Linked DNA regions of Caenorhabditis elegans. The protein of the gene in region 2 purifies or fractionates together with the protein of the main gene of each other region. This does not show direct contact. Each region holds a gene or a part of one and is shown on either strand. Other genes may lie near its edges. The genes, in order: alh-8, dhs-12, msra-1 and E04F6.9.

Evidence for each region.
Region 1: the proteins of dhs-12 (region 2) and alh-8 fractionate together in Caenorhabditis elegans (co-fractionation; one large-scale study listed by BioGRID). This does not show direct contact.
Region 3: the proteins of dhs-12 (region 2) and msra-1 fractionate together in Caenorhabditis elegans (co-fractionation; one large-scale study listed by BioGRID). This does not show direct contact.
Region 4: the proteins of dhs-12 (region 2) and E04F6.9 fractionate together in Caenorhabditis elegans (co-fractionation; one large-scale study listed by BioGRID). This does not show direct contact.

What each region holds. Positions count from the first base shown.
Region 1 is NC_003280.10:11,726,519-11,733,411, forward strand, and holds alh-8 (putative methylmalonate-semialdehyde/malonate-semialdehyde dehydrogenase [acylating], mitochondrial), read left to right. Parts: upstream 1-2,536; 5' UTR 2,537-2,560; coding exon 2,561-2,587; intron 2,588-2,747; coding exon 2,748-2,804; intron 2,805-2,858; coding exon 2,859-3,031; intron 3,032-3,078; coding exon of another isoform or gene 3,079-3,088; coding exon 3,089-3,596; intron 3,597-3,654; coding exon 3,655-4,104; intron 4,105-4,158; coding exon 4,159-4,515; 3' UTR 4,516-4,680; downstream 4,681-6,893. Other genes in the region: F13D12.5 (uncharacterized protein), read left to right, coding at 299-495, 548-674, 721-931, 984-1,371, 1,419-1,518, 1,566-1,808; F13D12.8 (Col_cuticle_N domain-containing protein), read right to left, coding at 4,708-4,901, 5,159-5,305, 5,741-5,852. UniProt on the Caenorhabditis elegans protein: Probable malonate and methylmalonate semialdehyde dehydrogenase involved in the catabolism of valine, thymine, and compounds catabolized by way of beta-alanine, including uracil and cytidine.
Region 2 is NC_003282.8:10,142,230-10,147,662, reverse strand, and holds dhs-12 (NAD(P)-binding protein), read right to left. Parts: upstream 2,415-5,433; 5' UTR 2,413-2,414; coding exon 2,284-2,412; intron 2,236-2,283; coding exon 1,993-2,235; intron 1,950-1,992; coding exon 1,656-1,949; intron 1,609-1,655; coding exon 1,507-1,608; 3' UTR 1,441-1,506; downstream 1-1,440. Other genes in the region: pigs-1 (GPI transamidase component PIG-S), read left to right, coding at 16-463; T14G10.8 (SH2 domain-containing protein), read left to right, coding at 731-784, 831-932, 980-1,369; msp-38 (Major sperm protein 38), read left to right, coding at 3,923-4,306; gst-4 (Glutathione S-transferase 4), read right to left, coding at 4,656-4,925, 4,972-5,099, 5,144-5,236, 5,291-5,423.
Region 3 is NC_003280.10:7,361,596-7,367,167, forward strand, and holds msra-1 (peptide-methionine (S)-S-oxide reductase), read right to left. Parts: upstream 2,446-5,572; 5' UTR 2,439-2,445; coding exon 2,190-2,438; intron 2,057-2,189; coding exon 1,682-2,056; 3' UTR 1,625-1,681; downstream 1-1,624. Other genes in the region: insc-1 (Protein inscuteable homologue C-terminal domain-containing protein), read left to right, coding at 37-136, 188-433, 515-668, 716-818, 1,129-1,409, 1,458-1,579.
Region 4 is NC_003280.10:7,209,987-7,215,134, reverse strand, and holds E04F6.9 (Periplasmic protein), read left to right. Parts: upstream 1-2,975; 5' UTR 2,976-2,978; coding exon 2,979-3,062; intron 3,063-3,108; coding exon 3,109-3,333; intron 3,334-3,377; coding exon 3,378-3,455; 3' UTR 3,456-3,510; downstream 3,511-5,148. Other genes in the region: E04F6.10 (uncharacterized protein), read left to right, coding at 148-300; E04F6.8 (Cuticle protein), read left to right, coding at 3,756-3,842, 3,992-4,216, 4,263-4,337; E04F6.15 (DeHydrogenases, Short chain), read left to right, coding at 4,866-4,922, 5,052-5,148.

The DNA.
Region 1 (6,893 bases), on a different chromosome or scaffold from region 2:
AGTTGTATTCCTTTTTTTCCAGAAAAATTAATTTGAAACCGAAGTTTTACTCTGAAAATGGAAAAATAAATCGATTTCGCTTTGAAAACATAGCGACTTTTAAATAAATAAAGTTGGGTACGGTAATCGTGGCGAGACCCACGCAATAGAAAAATTCAACGCGCCTTCAAATGCGCGCGATTTTTAGAATTTTCAATTTTATAAAATTACCTCATTTTTAATATCAGTCATTTTTCCCGTGTTTTATTTCTTTCTACGCGAAATTTTCTTTCAAAATCATTTTCGACATTTTCAGAAAATGAGCCGACGAGCAATTCTTCGTCTGCTGCTCGCGCTGCTCGCGTTCCACTCGGCTGCGGAGGCGGCTCACTCGCCCGTCGCCGAGGTTGTGGGAACCGAGCAGTACCTGCTCATCGCGCAGCAGGACAACTACAGATTCGCCGAAGCGAACGTAGAAGCGGGACAATGCCCGCGGGTCATGGAATCCCCGAAAAGGTTTGTTTTGCCGGAAAATTTCGAAAATAATTTAACAAATGTTAATTTTCAGCGAGCCTATTCCCTACCGCTTTGTCGGCGTTCACCTGGTCCGAGATCCGGATGGCATCCATGCGCCGAGGGTGTTGACTGTCACAGAAGACAGTCTCACCTACAATATCAAGATCACGGATTTGCATGTATGCTTATTATAGTGGTTGAAGTGTTGAATTTCGTATTTTTTAGATGTCGAATGGCTTCGAGAAGAACTCCGGGAAGCGGGAGGAGAACATTGGGTCAAGAGAGTCGATCTACCGCGAAGACGGGGCTCGAGGAAAGGCGAAGAGAAATCTGGCCCGTTCAATGTTCGACACGACTCGACACATGCTTTACCTGGACTTTTCAGCTCCTCCATTCTACGATATCGAGCAAATTTACTTGCATGGCATTTTCAGCGGTAATCACTTGCTTAATAAGCCTGCCTTTTAATCATAATTTTTTATTTTCAGATCGATTCGACAAGCTGCACATCGCAAAGTACACTGGCCACGCTGTGAATGGACTGTTCGATTGGGTCGAGGATCCATACACCGATGCAGTTTACTACAAGGAGCGAATTAATGGCCACGTGGAGATGTTCCAAGCAAAAATCAAAGATGTCGTGCCGATTATCACCGGAAAAATGGCTGGACGACGAATCGAAAATTCCTTGTTGAGCGGCGAACTCCAAGGTGTCTCGAACGGAGTATTCTACGAGACGAGTGTGAGAGATGTCAACGAAACGCATCAGACCCTGTCCTCAACGCTGACAACACTCGATTCGGAATGGAGTATCACTTGTAACGCGGAGACGATTTACAGTGTTGTTCCGAAGACCAACAAGCTCCTCATCATCAGGTTTTGAAGAAATCATCGATCTTCGAATTTAATATTCATAATTTCAGGGCCAACGATTATTGCATGTTGAGAGATGGAAAGAATTACAACAAGGAGAGCTGTGAAAACGAGCAGGCAGACTACCTGGCTCGCAATAATCCGTCTGAGGTGAGCTGGTTGTGTTGAAGAAATTTATAAATTAAATATATTTCCAGACCGACAGCAATGTGAACGCGATGATGTGGCTGATCGTGTTCTGCGTCGTCTTAATCCTTCTCGTGATTCTCCAGTGCGTCTACATCTTTTGGCTCCGATCGTCCTTTGTCTCGGCTGACGAGGCCTCTCATCATCAGGATCAGGAGACTGAAGCCTCCATCTTCATCGCGAAACAGCGCAGCTTCCCAGCGAGTTTCCATGAGCCAGGACTTTTGGATGTCTCCGTCGACAAGTGGAATTAAATCATTTTTATTTGAATTTATAGCATTCTCGTTCTTTTTCAATCTTTTCTAGCCTTCTATCCTTCTAGACACTAGACACTGTCATATTCTCATCTCATAATTTTTAATTTTTTACTTTTTTTTTTGTCACATTTCCTAGCACTTTCTGTTTCTTTTTTTTATATAAAATTAAATATTCCGCATTTTTATTTGTTTTAATTAATGATCTTTATCTTAACGTTGTTTATTCACCAACACTATTTTATTTTTGTATTCGAGTTTTCGAGACGCATCGATCACGTTTCTCCAAGTGCACACGGGTCAAATGGTGGGCAGTTGCAGGTCTCTCCACGTGCTGTGGCCGTCTCTTAGTCTCTTGCACTATCACTTTTCCCACTCTCTGACTCTTTTTTATTTCTTTTTCTTCTTTTTTTGCTGAGAGAGAGAGAAAAGCAACTGTTCTTCTTCTTCTGTCCTATTTGCCACTCCTCCCGTCGTCTTATCAACAGCATTGAAACTTCAAAAACTCGCAGATAGAGCTTTTAACCTTTTAATTTTCAATGTTCGCGTGTATTTTGTGGCTTATTTTATTTATTTCTTAGTTCAAAATTCGAAACGTGATCAGTAATGTTTAGTTTTCATTCATTTCGCATTATCCGAATCGTCAGAACCACCACGCGACCGCCCATCTCTTGTGATTTTCAATTTTTCTTCTCGTGCGTTTTCAGTCATTATCTTCTAATTTTCAGCTCTAAAACTTGCGGTACCCCAGAATGTTGTCTCGTCTTGCTCGTGTTCAGGTAGGAGTTTCTTTTTATAATATTTTTTAACAAAAAATCGTGTACTTCACACATCACTTGCAGTCTGTGCGACAGTTGTCGTATGGGGTGACACATTGAAAAAGAAAACGAAAATCAAACAATCAAAACTTCAAAACTTCAAATAATATTCTAATTTCAGCCAAAATGCCAACAGCTCGCCCACTTCAGCACATCGAAGTCTGCTGCCGCCGCACCAGTGAGTTTCAGGCTTGATCTTAAGTTTCCAAATCCAAATTCCATAATTTTTCAGACTGTCAAGCTGTGGATCGATGGACAAGCTGTTGAATCGAAGACCACCGACTTCGTGGAGCTCACCAATCCAGCCACCAACGAGGTCATCGCTATGGTGCCAAACGCCACCCAAGCTGAGATGCAAGCCGCTGTTGACTCGGCCAAGAATGCCTTCAACACCTGGAAGAACACGTGAGTCTTGAATCCCGTGTGATCTTTTTTTTTTATTTCAATAATAGAAGTTTCCAGATCCCCACTGACCCGTCAACAATGCATGTTCAAACTTCAAGCCTTGATCAAGAGAGACATGAAGAAGCTCGCTGAGAGCATCACCATTGAGCAAGGAAAGACCCTTCCAGATGCCGAGGGAGACGTCAGCAGAGGTCTTCAGGTCGTCGAGCACGCTTGCTCCGTTCCATCCCTGATGATGGGAGAGACCCTTCCAAATGTCTCTCGCGACATGGACACCCACTCCTACAGAATCCCACTTGGAGTCACCGCCGGAATCTGTCCATTCAACTTCCCGGCTATGATCCCATTGTGGATGTTCCCAGTCGCCTTGGCCACCGGAAACACTATGGTCATCAAGCCATCCGAGCAGGATCCAGGAGCAGCTCAGCTTCTTGTCGAACTTGCCAAGGAGGCCGGAGTTCCAGATGGATGTGTCAATATTATTCACGGACAGCACTCTGCTGTTAACTTTATCTGCGATAACCCAGATATCAAGGCTATCTCATTTGTTGGAGGAGATGCTGCTGTAAGTTTTTTTGAATTTGTTTTTTATGAACATTAATCAATTTTCATGATTTTTTCAGGGAAAACACATCTACGAGCGTGGAGCCAAGAACGGAAAGCGCGTCCAATCCAACATGGGAGCCAAGAACCACGGAGTCATCATGGCTGATGCCAACAAAGAACAGACCCTCAATCAGCTCACCGCTGCCGCCTTCGGAGCCGCCGGACAACGCTGCATGGCTCTCACCACCGCTGTGCTCGTCGGAGAAGCTCGCGCCTGGCTCCCAGAACTCGTCGAGAAGGCCAAGAACTTGAAGGTCAACGCTGGATGGAAGCCGGATACCGACATCGGACCACTGATCTCCAAGCAATCCAAGGCCCGTGTCCTCCGTCTTATCGAGAGTGCCAAGAAGGAGGGAGCTCAGGTTCCACTTGATGGATCCAATATCACTGTTCCAGGATTTGAGAATGGAAACTTCGTGGGACCAACGATTCTCGCTGGAGTCAAGCCAAATATGACTTGCTACAGAGTAAGATTTTGTTTTTTTTTAAATTTGTTTAATTTAATATTTAATTTTTTGTAGGAAGAAATCTTCGGCCCAGTCCTTGTCGTCATGGAGGCCGAGAACTTGAACGAGGCCATCGAAATCATCAACAACAACCCATACGGAAACGGAACGGCCATCTTCACCAGCAACGGAGCCACCGCCAGAAAGTTCACCAACGAAGTCGATGTCGGACAAATCGGAATCAACGTGCCAATCCCAGTTCCACTCCCAATGTTCTCGTTCACCGGCTCGCGTGGTTCATTCCTCGGAGATCTCAACTTCTACGGAAAGGCCGGAATCCAGTTCTACACTCAATGGAAGACTGTCACTCAATACTGGAACGAGTCGCTCACCGAGCTGAAGCCACAAATGTCGTTCCCACAGCTCAAGTAAATTGAAATTCTGTGAATTCTGAATTCTCTCATCCATCCCCACACACAATCACTTCTTGGTTCTTTTATTCTTGTTCAATAACGTTTATTGCCATGGTTTTTTGCAACCTCTCATTTCTTGTTTGTTCATATATAATACACATTTTATCATAAAAGTGACGATTAGACCCGTAAATGGAATGGGGGAAAATAATCACAGTTCAGAGAGAATCGTATTCGAATGATTGAAATCATAATCAAAACGTGGATAGTAACTATTCGGATCGGCAATCTGTTTATCATTCCGTTTGGAACGAGCCGCCGTGGGTTCGTCGATTTCCAAATCCGATTCCTCATCCTCCTCACTATTTGAAGTTGGATCTAGCGTGACGGCGATTATGATTATACCTGGAAAATATAAAATATTATTGGGACGTAGAAAAAATGCCCAATCAACGTGAAAACGCCCTCCACGGCAAATTGAAAACGCTCCGCCTCCTAACCGTGGGTCTCATTAGGTATTCTACCAAAATTCAGCATTTTCAATTAGCTTCAAGTGGTAACTTTCAAGTTACCAGTTTTTCCTAACGAGACCCAACTATTTGAGGCGGAGCGGTTCCAATTGGCCGTGGAGCGCATTTTCTGCGTCTTCATAATAATCTAACCTGTGATAAGAAGAGCAACACTGATAAGTGATACGATAAGCACCAATGCTACCGAAACGGACATCGACTGTGGTGCATTGTTGTTGAATGGACTGGCGACCGTCGGCGACGGGATCGCGCTGTCCAGAATTCGGCGGGCTTCCTCGTCTGAAAAAATATTTTGAGGAATATTGTTGAATTTTGTAATTTTTTCACCAAAAAATACGGTACTGCTAGGGTCTCGACGCGACCGGAAGTTTTCTGCAGGAAAATTGTGTGCGCTTTTAAAGACTACTGTAGTTGTGAAATTCTCGCTGAATTTTTCAAAATCGTATTTTTCATAAAATATTGATATATTTCAGATTTTGTAAAAATTCATTTGCGAAGATTGCGAAATAACGGGAAATGGGTTACTGTAATTTTAAAGGTGCATACTTTTTGTTGGGTAGATTTGAAAATATTTTGATCGCGTCGAGACCTTTTTTTTATGAAAAAACGTAATAACTTATAATTTTCGATGTTTTTTTAACTCTAAATAAGTTTTATAAAATTTTGCGCCTTTAAACAACTGGTTACTATAACGAAATTTCGAAAAAAGCCTACCATTTGCATCAAAAGCGATCACAATTTTGGAATTCGCATGTGAGACGGCCAAATAAATGAAGGCGACAAAAATGAAACAGGTCAGTAGAATAATACGAACCACGCAACGCATTCAATCATGAGCAGGTGCTGAATGTTATGACGATCAATCTGGAAATTGAGATGGAATTTTAGGGAAACAAAATGAATTATATCTCCTTTCCCATTGTAGGTAATAAAAAAATGTAGAAAATGTAGAAAAAATTGTGTACTACATTTTTCCAGTTGACAGTTTTTGTCTACCTAGCCTGGCAATAAAGTTATGAGCGTTTGAAGACAAGAAGAATTTGTCATACGAGAGAGGGGAAAGGCCGTCGTCGATACATAATGAATATTGGCCCAATCAATTCGGAAGTCCCTACTTCGCATACAAAACATATGGACTCGTCGAAGCAGAACGGGACTGCTCAACTCGGAGCACACATGCACACAGAGCAGGAGAGAGTCCATTAATTTTGCGGCGGGCGCCTCGCCTTTTTCTCTTTTCTCCTTTTTCCCTAAAACATTCTCGACTAATGATGAATGGGAATGACAGGAGAGAATGCAAATCCGTTCGGGAAAATGGGATTTTTGGAAGAAAATTGGGTACGGGTACTGTAGCTTCTAATCCTAGGTTATTAGGGAAAAAACGGGGCTCTGTAATTTGTTTTTCAATTTTTAGAATAAGGAAAATAAGAAAATAATTAGGATCTGTATTAGGCTTTTGACATAGGCTAGGCTTACGATTACGTTTGGGCTTGGGCTTAGTCTTAGGCTTAGGGTCAGGCTTAGGCTTAGGCTTAGGCTTAGGCTTAGACTTAGGCTTAGACTTAGACTTAGGCTTGGGCTTAGGCTTAGCAATGAAGCCGACGATAAGGTAAATTTATATAAAAGCCAATGTTATAAAACTCGGCCACTGTCTTTTTGTGGCTGTTAAAAAATCTATGTGGCCGCGAAAAAAATTAGTGGCCGAGTTTTTCTTTCTTTCACAAAACTGATATCAAGTTCCTGTTTTCTCAAGTTGCTAAATTGCCATATTTTCGCGGACACGTAGCATTTTATTAGTGGGCGTGGCCAAACGAGACTCCAAATGCCGTTTTTGTTTTGGCCTGGTAATCGCAATCCCGTCGGGCCG
Region 2 (5,433 bases):
TTTTTTTTTTTTCAGAATTCAAATGGGAATGGATGCTGAACTTTCACATGGATGGCATCGCCCACCTGTTGCAATCTGTCAATGGGAAGTTGCTCGAGCCCGTCTACGTGCTTCTGTTGATAATGCGATGCGAGCTGCCAGTGCTGTTCGAGCTCTTGATCAGCTTGCACAGAAAATATCGAATATTGTTATTAACGATGACGTGGCTGATCGTGCAACTCGAGCTGTAGAAATCCTTAACGATGTTGTGCGTCCTGGTCGCATGCTTGATTTCGAACGTCTACTTGAAGCACGTCGTTTAGCAGATTCCGCTAATTCGGATCACTCCTTACTTGCAATGCTGTATTTCCCAATGGATCAGAGAACTGCCGTACTGATTCCTCTTGCAGTACCGATTGTGTTGCCAATTTGTAAACTGGTCTACGAAATTGCCAAGATTACTGTTTTTTGGGGATATTTGTGATTGAAGAAATCTTGATATGCGATAACGTTTTACGGGAAATGTAACGAAACTAGTTTCACTTTAATTCCAGATCTGTTTGATAATAATAAATAAATTTTAATGTATTCAAGATAAAAACGTGAACTTTTGTTTTCACGTTAGTGTCTTTGCAAAATGAACAAATGTCATAAAACACGAAAGTCTACGAATTCGAATAAATTCATTTTTACACTACTCAACAATTGATCTGCTGCTTCTTTCTCCACAATCTACAACTTCTGAAAAATGATGAAACCACCGATTTGCCGCCGGATGAGCCTGCCACCAGTTCTCGCAAAGAAGGTGAAATTTGTTGCACAATATATTTTTAAAGAATGAAAGTTTGCAGGAAGGTGAACGAATTCAAGTTCCAGAAGGTGGAGAATTGGTATGCTACCGAAACCAAGAAGATCAACATCTTTTCTTAAAAATAGAATACTCGCGCGAAACGGTTAGTTTTCGACGGATCTTTTCAGAGATTCAAATTCCTGTTTTCAGATGATTAAACTTTCATCGTCTGTTTTCTGTTATGCACGACCAACTGGCCTCAAAGAAGTTTCCGATGAGTTGCCGGAACTACTTGGACTACCCCATTCGATTCCACTGACAGATTCTCCGCCGAATTTTGAATGTCTTCCTGAACCATTGGCACATGTTTCGGGATGCAATTCACATTTCAGTATGAACCATCCTCCTCCACTTCTGAGCCCTCTACGTGGCCCTGTAACTGAAGCTGATGAGGCGATGCGCACACTCAGTAGTCATCGAGAACTTCAGAAGCGGCTTCAAAACATGTCAATGCGAGGAGAGTTGAGCCCTTCAGGATGCCTGGTTGACAGTTGTGACACACCTGCAATTCGTCAGATTCGCAATCCTCAGTTCACTTGATTCGAAAACATTCTAAATACTGACATTTAACCGCATTGGTTTCGTTTAATAAATAACCTTGCGATCATAAAATGATTTTTAACTTTTTTTATTCACATATCACTTATGTTCCAAACTGAAAAACAGACAAAGAACGTTTATAATGGCATCTCTTCTAGTTCACGATTGAAGAGACCTCCTTGGTGACCACCATTCAGCTTTGCAATGCTCGCAACAATTTTTGTAACAGACTCGTCAACCTGAAAGCATTACACAGTGAAAATTATACCAGTCACGACATTCCTACCGAAATTTCAGCATTCGATCCTCCCATGTCTGTCTGCACCCATCCTGGGTGAATATTGGTGATCAGAACTGGAATTTCGAGACGCTTGAAGTCTGCAGCCATCGAGCGAGAGAAGCTTAACATAGCAACTTTGCTCATTTTGTAGGCAAGAAGTGAGTTCGACGGACCGGATCCACGCAGATTGAGTGCTTGTGATGCACAGTCAGAGCCAATGTTCACGATTGCGGCACGGTCAGGTGTGAGGGAATCTCCAGAGACGTGGCTAGCTGCTTTTTGGAGAAGAGGAAGGAAATGCTGCAAAATGAGAATTTATTATTATTTAAATAATAATATTTACCTGCGAAGCTAGCAGTGCGCTGACAGCATTCACATCGATACAGTGCAAGACCGAAGCACGATTTGGAGCAGATGTAGTTCCATATGATTCAATGAGTCCAGCATTATTAATGAGCAAGTTCAGACCACGATCTCCGACTATTCCAGAAACTGATTTAACAGAATTCTCGAGACTTCCATCGTTGGAAACGTCAACTGCGATCAAGTGAAGACGAGCATCAGCTTTTGCGAGAGATTGAAGCTCCTGGAATAGAAAATATGTTTAAATATCCAAAAAAAAGTTACAACTTACTTTAGCTCCATCGATATTTCTTGCTCCAGCAACAAGAGCTTCGACGCCTGGAACTTTCAAGAGCTCTCTTACAAGCCCCAATCCAATTCCTCTGTTTGCTCCGGTAATGAAGATAGTTTTTGGTGCCATTTCTGAAAGAATGAGTATGAACAGGTGAAGGAAAAAAAAGAAGTAATAAACTCATTTCTGAAGAAGATTAATCTGAAATTGAGAAAAATTGAGCTAGCTAGCTCAATTTTCTAGAAAAAATAAAAACTGGGAGACTTCAGTGAAGCGCATTTGCAACGTCTTTTGCAACCAAGGAAACAAGTCTAGAATAATTATTCTGAGATTTATTAACGACTTAATGAACGTTTTAATGTTTTAACGATTTAATGAACGTATTAACGATTTAATGAACTACGCGTAGTCTAATTTTTATAGAGAAAACTCAAATATGTACAGTAAATAAGTTTTTTTTGGGAATACCAATTTTTTGGTGAGGATATAAATAAAGGAACGTATAAAAGGAACGAAATCAAATATTTCAATTGCAATTGAAAAATCACAGCGGTTATATTTGAAAACTAGATCATGGTGTGTGAGGTTACCACTCAATAAAATGAAAAACTCATTGTTTACAACACATTTTCAAATGTTTTCTCATGTTTCTCTAACAACCAACTCTAACTTCAAGGGTTGTCATCATTTTTCTATGTTCTGTGGTTTTTGACCGTTCAATTAGATTGTGACTGGCGGATAAATGTCCAATGACCGTAGAAAAAAGTGTTCAGCGGTTTGATTGAATGGTTGAAATGACACGAAAACAAGGAGTTGTACTAAGTTCGAGAATTCTGTTAAATCAGTTTCTGAAATAGTCGGAGATCGTGGTTGCTCATCAATAATGCTAGACTCATTGAATAATATGGAACTACATCTCCTCCAAATCATGCTTCGGTCTTGCACTGTCTTGCTGACAATTTGACAAGTCTCCTGAAGAATGGATTCTTAGATTTCAACAAAGAAAAGAAGTTGGAAGAGTTCTATAACAAGATTCATTCAATTCCAGAAATTAAGAATTATGTGGCAACAAGAAAGGATAATATTGTTTAAAATGGAATTATTAAAGTCTGAATTAAACAGTGAGTAAAACTCAAGTGAGGCTACATTTAGTTTCAAAGAAAGAACAAGCATGCATAAAAAACTATTTTATTTCACAAGGACTCTATGGGTTGTACTCGATTGGGAGGTTCTTACGACGAACCATACCCCTGGAACCATTCACGACGGAATTGCTTGGCAGCACCATCCGGGGTGTTGGTCCACTCAAGAGTGATACGGTCTTTGTTGGTATCCTCTTGTCCGAAGGCAAAAGCATCGCAGAAAACAGCAAGAAGCACAGCTTTTTAGTGAATTAAGAATCCAGCTGAAATGTGTTTTGTTAAACCACTAATTAATTATTCCGGTGTGAAATGTAACGAGTTTCTAGAATAAATCAAATTCATCATTATTCTAAATAACTATTTTCCATTTTTCTGTGAACTCTACATGACAAATCTAGAACAAAGATCTGGGGCAGTGATGAGAAGCTTGCTATAAATTGGGCAGATTTTGTCATAATCTTCAGTGCGAGTTCTCATAACTCCTTCAACAAGTCGCCATGGCCCAATCCGTCCCACCAGGAGACATCCAAACCCAACCGGGTACCAAGATTGTCTTCAATGCTCCATACGATGACAAGCACACCGACCACATCAAGGTGATCAACTCATCGGCTCGTCGTATTGGATATGGTATCAAGACCACCAATATGAAGAGACTTGGAGTTGATCCACCATGTGGAGTTTTCGACCCAAAGGAAGCTGTGCTTCTTGCTGTTTCCTGCGATGCTTTTGCCTTCGGACAAGAGGATACCAACAACGACCGTATCACTGTTGAGTGGACCAACACCCCGGATGGCGCTGCCAAACAATTCCGTCGTGAATGGTTCCAAGGAGACGGTATGGTTCGTCGCAAGAACCTTCCAATCGAGTACAATCCATAGGATGTGTGAACTGGGTTTCTAAACAATAAACTTTTTCCAAGTATATGTTCTGTTTTTCTGTTTTAATCTGCAGATTGAATATTTATTAAGACTCAAGCGAACAAGTTTTGTATAATAATAAAAATAAAATGCCAATTACTCAAATCCTGCCACTTTCTGTCACTGCCATAGTTTTTCCCAAACTGGATCTTTAAGAATAACATTTTAATATTTTCAAAGATATTTGATAATTAGATAGTTCGGTGCTTCAGGATAAACACATAATAATAATTTATTACGCTCTCTGGGAGACGTGATAGGAACGATATTATTTTACTACATACATAATTCAGACTTAAATAATTCGATTTTAAACAATACTATCCTTTCTTGTTGCCACGTAATTCTTAATTTCTGGAATTGAATGAATCTTGTTATAGAACTCTTCCAACTTCTTTTCTTTGTTGAAATCTAAGAATCCATTCTTCAGGAGACTTGTCAAATTGTCAGCAATCACAATATCAGCCCAAGTCAATGAGTCTCCAACGAGGAATCCTGATTTACTCTTGGCCAGGAACTTATTGATTATTGCCAAGAAATCATCACGGGCTGGTTCAACAACTTCAAAACGTACTTTGTTCTAGAATAGGATACCCAAATTAAGATGCTATTTTAAGAATGCTTACAATATGATCAGCGTCACTTCCATAGAAAACGGAAGAAGTGAATTGACGGAAAAAGAATATGAAATCTCTGTATTGATCTACAATTGAATCAGCGTAAGCTTCTTCCTCTGCAGTTTTTCCAGCGAGTCCTAGATGTTTAAACATTTTAAAAAGAAAAACAACAAAACCTTACCAAATTTTCTTGCCAAGTATCTTGTGATAGACATTGACTGACCGAATTGTTCTCCATCGACTTGTAAAATGGGAAGCTGGCCAAATGGAGTCGCTGGAAATTTGAAAAGTTGAAAATTGTTATAAAAATAATCATGGCTTCACTCACTTGGCTTCAGCTTTGACCATTCTTCCACTGAAACTCTATAATCCTCGTAAGGCACATTGAGCATTGCAAACATGATACGGATTGGCTCAGCAAGAGCACGAGCATCAAAATACAATAGCTTATAGTTTGGCATAATTAGAATT
Region 3 (5,572 bases), on a different chromosome or scaffold from region 2:
TTGAAACAAATTAAATGTTACCTTACGTTTTTCCAGAAATCGAGATAAAGGAATAATTGACATGAATAATATGACAAACTTTTTTGCGATTCTTCTCAGAAAGTCTATAGAATCAGTACTTTTGGTGTTTGTGAGGGTAAGTTACTTTTAGTTTAACTATTCAATTCATTCAAATATTTAATTTCAGATAATATCCAAGAATCTATGTGAAAGTAATGGAAAAGATCGTCTGACACCTATTTGTTTAGAGCATCTTATTCATATTTGTTTATTTGGAGATGAACTTTGTATTGAAGCAATTCAAAAAGGATGCATCTCATCAGTTATTCGAATTATGAAGAATGATCAACCACAGGAGAACACTCTTAGATTTTTACTTCGAACATTGGCAGTGTTATGTGGAGTTTCAAAAGGAGCACTTGCTTTGCTCACGGTAATTAGATATATTTTATAATCAATACTTTTCAATACAAATTCAATACAAATTCAATCAATACAAATTGATTAATTTCAGCAAGGAGGCTTGGATTTGGTTATTGATAGACTTTTATCCATTTCCTCATCAATCTGTTCCGTCGAGGCAGCTGGTATTCTGACACAACTTACCAATCCTCAGTCTGCATTCATTCGGTTAAATCATGTGGAACCAATTATATCCAGACTTTTGGGTAACCAATTTAAATATAAAAATTGGAGACTAAATAATTAATTTCAGATCTAATAGATCAATGTAAATCAGGTGACTCTTTGCTTTTGGCAACCGCTGCATTGAACAATGTGACACTTCAGAACCCAAATGGAGTTGATATTATGTACAGGTTTGTTGAATTTTAAGCATTTAACTATTTTCGCAAAAGCTCAGTACAAAATTAAATTTGAACCAACATTAAATTGAGCTATAGCACGTAATTGTAGAAAATGAATGCAAAATTTCAAGGCGAATTCCTTGTTCTAACTTTTGTAGCAATTGCTACAAGTTACCTAGAAACTACAAAACGGTAAACCAGCCTACCAGATAAAACTGAAAACAGTCTCGAATTTAAAAAAAAATCTGAAAATTTATAGGATCGCTCTCTATTTTGGGATTTTGAAAAGTTTTTTGCAACATGTAAATGTAAATATTTTCAGAAATAATTCAATTCGTCGTCTGATATCTGCTTATAATCGAGAAAATTGTGCCACTGTCTTCGTCCAGGAACAAATTGTTACAGCCTTTTCTCGCCTTGCCGCCCGTCATTTAGATCATCAAATGGTTGATCAAAATGCAATTCCAGTGCTTCTTGAATTTTTATCCCTTACCCATCCAATCCATGCGGATTACTGTAGAAGGATACGGTACAAAGCTGCTGTATGTATTGGTACTTTAGCTAACAGTGAAATTGGGCTCAAAGCCTTGTATGGTAATAATGGTGAGATTTTCAGAATTATTCAACGTTTCATATATGTTCAAGTTACAGCCTACGCAATTTTGAGCAATGTGCTTTATGATGACAACAACTCTTCAAATCCATTTAATATGATATGCAACAATATTCGCACAAAGTTGGAATCTAAATACCAATCTGAAAGTGCAGTATAATATTCAAATATCTTCCTTTGTTAAACAAACAAACACAAGAATCTGTGATAAAATAAAATTCATTGAAAACCTGATAAAAGTTCGATTGTACATTCATATAATTTAAGCATGACAGTTTCTTGGATCTCCTCCTGACAGAGCATAGTCCTTCACCTTATTGACAAAAGAATCCTTTAATCCGTACTCTTTTGCAAGACGCTCAAGATCGTGGAAGTCCTGGAAGCCAGCACAATATGCGTTCAATTTTGTGGCAAGTTCTCCTTCAGCAACTTGAGTATCAAGAAGAGACAGTTCATCGAAAAGAATCTTCTTTTGACGGAACCAATATTTTTGATGGTAATCTTCAGCTTGATAGAACTTGTCCAATGGCTCAATATATGTTTCAATGTCTCCATGCTTGTCCTTTGCTACTTTCAAAGTTTCTTCAGCGACTTTCTTTTGGTCGTCATTTACGTAGAGAATCGCAGATTGGTATTGCTGAAATTGAAACGAATTAATTTGAAGTTTAAATGTATTTTAACCTAAAAAATTATAATCAATTAGAACTTACTTTTTGTTACGTTTTCCAGTAGAACAATATTTGAAACTTTAAAGTCAATTCGAAAATTACCTTCTTTCTCCTTTCAGCTGGGTTGTGATGCTTCCAAAAGAAGTTGGTGAGCTTTGAGTATTCAATAACTTTTGGATCAAAAGTGATCTCTGTGATTTCAGTATGATCCTTGATATTCTTATAAGTAGGATTTGGTTGTTTTCCTCCAGCATATCCAACTCGTGTCACCACAACTCCTTTCAGCTTCGCCCATGCAGATTCTCCCCAGAAGCACTGAAGACCAAAATAGGCACGCTCCAAATAAGCCATGTTTCACCTGAAATTATATCGGATTGAAAAAGGTTTTGAGTTTATAAAGGAATTAAAAAATTAGTAAACAATGTAAAAACGTATGTTTCACAGTCAATTTATATACAAATCGGGGCGGAATCAAAATGTGATTCCTGTAAATTTTGCGATTACATCAGAAAGAGGAAAGAGACGCAGAGGGAATCGATGAAGAAGACAAGTAGAAAAGAAAACATACAATGTTAGACGCAGGCATATAGACACGACATGCTTTATCATCATTCTGCCAGCAGTGGTAGACGAAGAAAAAGCAGATGGCCAGTCAGAAATGATGACATAGATCGCTTTTTGGTAAAGATGTTTCTTTTGATGATATTGAGTACACGTTGGGTTCAATGGACAATAACTGAGCTTTTCCATGAACTTTCTTTTGATCAAAATAGTTTCTAATTTTAGGCCCTGTATTTTTCGTTAGAAATTGCAAAATGTTCAATGTACAAATGAATAAGTTATACCTAGTTGACGGAGCTCTTTCACTTGTGAGAACATTGAACTTTTCCTCGTCTTACAACAATCGTTTTTTTTTGTTTATTCGATTAGCTAAAAAACAATTAATCAAAAAACTATGAAAAATAAATGAAATTTCCGAAAGTTTGAACCTACAGTACTCATTAAAGGCGCACGCCTGTTCGTATTGTACAAAAATCTGTCGTGTCAAGACCGGGGTTGGCTCAAAAACCCTAAAACCTCGTGTCTGGTTAATAAAGGATATTTCCAGAAAAAAAGTGAAATGGAAACCTAAGTTATTTCTGAACTATTAAAATATAGTGTGCTCTTGGATCTTGATAATTTACTATGACTTCAGCAGCTTTATCTAATTCCATGTCTTCTTGTTTTCGCAATGTATTTTGTATTTCACGGATGGAACGTTGACGAAGATAATCTAGATTCGCTAGTTCAGCAGTTATATCATCAAGAACTTGCATTGCTGCAGCAAATGTTCAATGCACAAATGAATAAGTTATACCTATTTGACGGAATTCGTTCACTTGTGAGGATGGTAGTGGGGGTGGAGTAAGACTGGCTCAGTCTGAACGTTTTGACCTACTTGCAAGTTAGTTTTGAAGCTCAAAAATAATGTTGTTTTTACAGACAGTCATTTGGACTACAAATCCACTGTGACACCTGCTCAGACAAACGCTTAGTCGTCTAATTAGATTTCAACCGTATTCAACGAGATTTCAACCATATTTGTTTAGAAAATCCATATTGCATTATATTTGCTCCATATTAGATTAGAAATCCATGCTAGATTAGATTTCCTCCATATTTCATTAGAAAACAAATCTAATCCAATATGGTCGAAATCTAATTAGACTACTAAGCGTTTTTCTGAGTGTGCCCACAGTACATCACTATTGTTTTATTGAACCGTTGTAGAAGTATACTATAATTTTCTACAATTCAATAGTTAGGCAATACAACATTCTAAATTCTCATTAAAATAATACTTGCCAGCAAAAGTTGCAAGCCCAGGCTCGGTTTACCAAATAACTTCTTGAACTCACGAAATTGCGTATCTTCAAACTGGCGTATCTTGAAAAATAAACATCCAGGAAACAAATGTTCAACTAACAAAATGATTAGAAATATTTTTTATTTTTTCTGCATTACTTTTCAGTGCAAAATACCAATTATTTGTTACACAGAGTCATTTTACCAAAAACCACTAAAAATTTTGTCGATTGAGTTTCAGAAGTAAAATGTTAATGAATAATAATTGCAAGATATAAACTGATAAAATGTGGAAAAATATCTTGCAATTATTATTTATTAATGGGGTTATTCAAGTAATGTAGCAAAATGTATTTAAATACATTTGTGACGTCACTAATGTATTTAAATACATGTTTTTATATACTTGAATACAGTTGTGACGTAATTAATCTACACTTTTTAATTTTCCGACACTACTTGAATAACCCCATAAGTTTTGTTATCTAAAATTCAATGGATGTTGAATTATGAATGGTAGAGCAGAACAGTTCTCAAAAATTTCGATGGGTATTGGGAAAATTTATTTGAATCAGTGTAACTCAACAAATAACTGGTATCTTGCAATGAAACTAAATGCAAAAAAAAGAAAAAATATTTTTAAACATTTTTTTAGTTGAACATTTGCTTCATAGACGTGGATTTTTCAAGATACGCCAGTTTGAAGATACGCTACAAATGCCTAGTTAGGCTTGTTCGAAAGCTAGAAAAATTCTCTACACAATGGCAGGTTTAACTTCAGAAATTTATTAGTAGATACTGAAAATTATGGAAAATACCAAACTAACTATGTTTTACAATATTAGATAAACATTGAGAAAAATTGCTCAAAAAATCTGACCGACATTTCTGTTGACCAATGTGAAGAGAAAAAGTTGAAATTTTGAAAAATCTCAAAATTTTTATTCGAGTAAAAATTTATAGTTAGGGTTATTTCTTGTTTTCAGTGACAATTTTGAGAGCTTCTTGTACATGCCATACCGGGTGAACTTGAATTTTCGTTTTCATCGAATCTGGAATCATCGAGTAGTTCGAATCCGGCACTATGACTGCTTCATACAATCCGTCAATAGCCGCCTGGACTTTATCAAGAATTCCACCAACCTGAAAATAGGATCTTTCTCTCTCTTCTTTCCTTCTCTAGTACTAGTTTTTAAAACATACAAAAGAAAATGTGTTCAAAAAAGTTGGGGGTTTTCATAAAAATAAAGAACTTACTTCATAAACGAAACCGAAAACATCAAGAGAACCCGTGATGGCAAAACGGGGTGATATCTTAACTCCTGTGAAGAGAGCCAACAACCCAACCGCAGTCGCCAGGGTACCCGATGATCCATCCAATCGGCCATGATAGTAGAATTCGACAACAACTTGTCTATATTGCACCGGGAAGCCCATAGCAACTGCTTCGAAACGAGCGACTTGATACGCTAAATGCGACTTCCGTTCTATTTCTGGACCCATTTCACCTTGACTATGAACTTCGAACGAGTGTTCGTTGGAAATCTCATATCGGCATTCTGAAAAATATATGATCTTGTATCATCATTTTACTAGATATGAAGCGCTGTTTTATGTTTCTACATAGTAGATCTTTGGCA
Region 4 (5,148 bases), on a different chromosome or scaffold from region 2:
TCTTATTCTATTGCATTCCAACAACATTAGAAATGTAAAACCTAGTTTGATTAATGACTTGATGCTCCCCTCATCAATCAAGAAGAGAGATTACCAATAAGCTGCCACCATGCCATACACCAATTAATTCATTCTGTTCTTTTCCAGGGAGGAGCCATCTTCATGTGTATTCGGTTTTTTCAAAGCCAGCGACAACGTGGAGAATACGAATTGGAACATCGATTCGAAAGGGGTCCGTCTGGTCGCGTGCCGGTCGCTCAGGCAACCCATCAAAAAATCAACAAGAATCCCATCACGTAACGACTATGAGCCGATTGGCGAGTGTGTAGATGTTATTGAGACTGAGAGAACGGGTTTGGATGGATCGGTTCCTTCATTGGTTTCAGGTACTTTTGAAGTGATAGTTTAAATGTGGGAACAGAACAAATAAGCGTATAAACAAACAAATAATCCAAGTCTGAGAGTGAGAAGAAACGCAAAGTAACACTTATGAATAATAAGAAAGTCATTAGGAAACAATTTTCTCAGAACACAACATTCGTGTAATTCTAAAACACTGTGATATACTGTTTAACTAGGTTCGAGCGGGGAAACTGTGACCTACTGAACAAAACTTTCTAACTTCTTCCAACATTCATTTCAGGACCTTCCACATTTTTACATTTTCCTGCATCACCTGCCCCAACATATTCCTTTCGGGAAGATGATTGTCAGACCGATATTGAAATATCTGAAGATGACGATGATCCAACAATAACCCTATCCAATTGGCGTCATTCATCTCCAACTCTTTCAATTTGTACTCCAATTCTTACTACTCGTCGATCGACTTCTTATTCATCAATACCAACCATCGATCGTACGATTAGCGAAGACTCGATGCTGGTGATTAAACGTTTGTAGTTTTATTTCTTTAAGACAATTTATTTATTCAAAAACTCTTCATTCATTACGGGTAGATAAATTTTCTAGTTTTTCCATTCTATCAACATAGACCCAATGCTTCTTTCCTTTTCTTTTTACCGTACGATTTCCAAAACATTCTGCCAATTTGTCATTTGCTATATATTTCCTCCATAAATGTTTCCCTTTTTTCCTTCATCCCAATCCTTTTTTTTCTGGTAATAATAAATTCCTTTTCTGGGCAAAAAGCAACAAAATGTGAGCCAAAAAAGGCGACTGATGATAGATGGTGATGATTTGAATGTGACTGGAAGGAGGAGAAGAAGACGTCGAAAAAAGCGGCAAGCTAAGAAGAGTGATGGTGTACATGGGACGATGTGGAACAACTAATCCAGGAATGAAATGATAGTCAACCACTGACATGTTATTCACTTGAAAAAATAGTCCCTTAAAGGGAAATGATATGGTGAAGTTTAATAAAATTCCCCAGAATACTCCACTTTCAAAAAGTTTCAGGAAGTCTTATTGGATAATTCAAAATTCCTTCATGGCAAAGTTTTTATATATATTTGTAATGGATTGTGCAAACATGAATATTAACAGTTTTATTTATTTTGTTATCATTTTGTCATAGCCTAGGTCAATCTCGGTAGACGATAGGTTTTCAAAATAATCAAACAAATGCATCTGATTGTTTAACTTTTTGTACGTTTTTCATATACTCTGATGATTCAGATCAATTTGATCTTTTTAGAAGAATGTTCAAAATTTCCACACTTCGAAATCCTGTTTTCACAATTCATTTCATCCATTTTTATGAGTTGGAACGATAAGAAAAGAATCTTAACGATGAAAGTGTCAACTGTTGTTACTGACTCATTCACTTGTTGTGACGGAAACTGATCCGAAGGTCGGAAAATTTTCAAGAATAACACAAAGTTTGTAGAGTATAAAAAGAGCTGAAGAATCTGTAAGGCCTCAGCCTTTGAAACGTTATTCATTTAACTCACAGAACGTATATTTTATATCTGATGTTTAAATTTTTTATTATGCGTTGTAATATTCTGATAATAAGACCGTTTTTTTTTCTAGTCCTAAAAATTATTAGTCGCCTTCAAGTTCGCCTTCAAATTGATTGTTTTAAAACCTGTTTCAATCTTGAGCACACAATCTCGTCTTTTGTGAATTAGAAATAATAATTCATCAAAAATATAGAAGGTGTTTTTGATCAGTTAAAAAAATTCAAAAAAGAAAATTTCCGCTCTATTGATTTCTTACTTTCCATCACAACATAATTCAATTAAGATAGGGACTATAAAAGTTTGCTTGGCCACAAAATGGCATAAATCGGTTTCAGATAAGACACATTCGATTCACCTCTTTTCTTATTTACTAAACTCTTATTAGCGGTAAAGCTAACTACACATACACGTAATTTTTTTGAGGCATAATTATGTATTATCAGTAATTTTTGGAACTCTAAAGTACTCTAATTTATCAATTAAATTATCTTTCCAACTAAAAAACGACATATTAAAAATCGACTAAACATCCTGTAAACTTCACATCTATCAGTAAAAAAAGCTACGCGCCTCAAAACACGACCTTCTCAATCCCATCATTGTGAACTTTCATAGTGTTCTCACATTGATCTTAAGAACAAATAAACTTCCTGATTGTTCCATTTTCAATACTTCTCCAAATGACATTCTTTGAACAGTCTAAGGAAACGAATCCTCATTTTCTAGTTCCGTGTTCCAACTCTGTAGGATTTTTTGTATAACTCTGATAACAAGAAGGATATTTTCTCTCACTCTAGCCAACAAACAAATGATAAAAACAAAGTGATTGATTGCAAAGTGGGCTGGGCGTTTAGTTTAACCAGCGGAGGTGCTTACCCTATTTTTTTCATTCGAAGGCAGTATCTTCTGGCTGACGACACTATTTATTGTTGTTCCAAGAGAAAGGTTTCATCACTTTAAGATTTTGTGCTTTTTCTTTCAATTGTTCTTCTGAATTTCGTGTCAATTCACAAAACTTTTTTCATTCTTGAAAATTAAATAAAATTTCAGAAAATGAACCGCTTCATTCTTTCCGCTTTCCTCCTTGTTGCCATCTTTGCCATATCCGATGCTGCCGTTGCTCAACAGCAGGTTAAGGTTTGTTGTAACTCCTATTTGAAAAATAACAAAAAATCATTTTCAGGACGGAGAAAAAGTTGAAATCGATGCTTTCAAGGGAGCCAAGGCAATCAAGAGAACCGTTGCCGGTGGAGATCAAATCTTCCACCTTGACGGAGATAACAAGGGATCATTTGTTGATGCTAAGGGAAAGAAGATTGAGTCAACCAATTATGAAGCTAATAACGGAATCCTTATCATTAAGAAGTTCACCAAGGCCGATGTTGGAACCTACTCCGAGCACCCAGCTGTAAGTTTTCAGTGGGAGAAATAATTAGAAATGTTTTATTTCAGAAAAACACCGAAACCAAGCACGCTGATGGATCCATCTCCGCTGTTCCAGGACTCACTCTTGATATCTCCCTGCAATAAACAAATTTCATTCGGAATGTGTTCTAATAATTTCTCTAAATAAAATTTTTAAAACAATTTCGTGCAAACTTTGCAAAAATAAACAAAAATGTGAGTCAGAACAGAAATAGGCGTGACCTCTATTCAGTCAACAGGTGACCAATAAATCAAGTCTCATTCGTCACTATTTAATGGGTTCTAGAGATGTTTTCTTTCTTCATTCTTTTTTCTCTCAAAATCATCTGAGAAAACTTTGTTTCAGGAGCTTTTTGAATTGTTTTCAATAAAAGCTTTCCTTAAATTTTTTTTATCATTTTCAGAATGAGCCGGTTTTTGATTTCTTCGTTTATACTGATTGCCTTTGTTCTTCAGTTTGGAGAAGGATCAATTGCAGTTCAAGAAGTTAAGGTTTGTAAAGTTTTTTATCTGACAATAGTTTAAAAACTGTTGTTCATGCTTCTACAGGAAATTTTAAATGTATTTCTCAAAACTACTCGAAACTTCAAAAGTTTTCTTATTTTGAAATACCAAGTAGTATTTTACAAATTCCATTTTAGGATGGCGAAAAAGTGCAAATTGAACTTTTCAAAGGAGCCAAGGCAATCCAGAGATCCGTTGACGCTGGCGAACAGATTTTCCATTTCGAAGGAGAAAACAAAGGAGTGTTTGTGGATGCTAATGGAAAAGCTATTGACTCGTCAAATTATGAAGAGAATAACGGACATTTGGTCATCAAAAAGTTCACAAAAGCTGATGTTGGATCATATTCTGAATATCCAACGGTATTGAATTCCTGAAATTCCCGAATTGAAAAAGTATTAATTTCAGAAAATTATCAAAACGAAAACGGATCATGGATTTTCTGGAGTTGCCGCGCCAGTTCTCAAACTTTCTCTTCAATAACTTTTAAAAACTGTTTCAATAAATTCTTTTAAATAACAATAAATTGTTTGCAATATTTCGTAAAAACCTGTTTGAAGGAATTATTTAACCATTATTTGGAAAAGAAATTTGAATGTAGTAACTGTTTCACGCCCACAAAAAGTTCTGTTAAAATATCTCCAGAGCAAATTCCGCACTGATCTGTTAAATATTTTCTGTAACACTATTTCTATTTTTACTATTTTTTTCGGCTATTTAAAATTAAACCGCAAGACAAATAGGGAAATTAGTGTGATTTTTAATTCCAATAAGGCGAATCTTATAGTAAGTTTTTTTCTTATTCGAAAGTACTACTTTACTGATAAGAAAATGAAAAATCATTCAACTTGCATCGATCATTTTCCTCGTTTCACCTGAAAATATGACATGAATATAGAGATAAATATGTCAATTTAGCTACAGTTTTACCAATATTCATTGAACTTCACATCATAATTTCTCAATATAAAACAGGAAATTCAGAAACTCATCAATTTTTTCATTTTCAGAATGGTTGCTGATGGTAAGAGGAAACGGCAGTTTCATTCAAGAACAAATGCACTAGAAGTAAGCGTTCTTTTAGTATTAAATGTTTCATCAATTTCCTAAATTTAAGTTTTAAAAATTCGATGATGTCCTACTCCCTAGTGTTTTTAATCTGTTTCAAATTCTTGCTATAATTGAATCCGTTTTCAGGTATTGGATGGTATTGACCTTTCTGGTAAAACATTTGCAATTACTGGAACAACATCTGGGATCGGAGTTGAGACTGCTAAAGCATTGATTTTAAAAG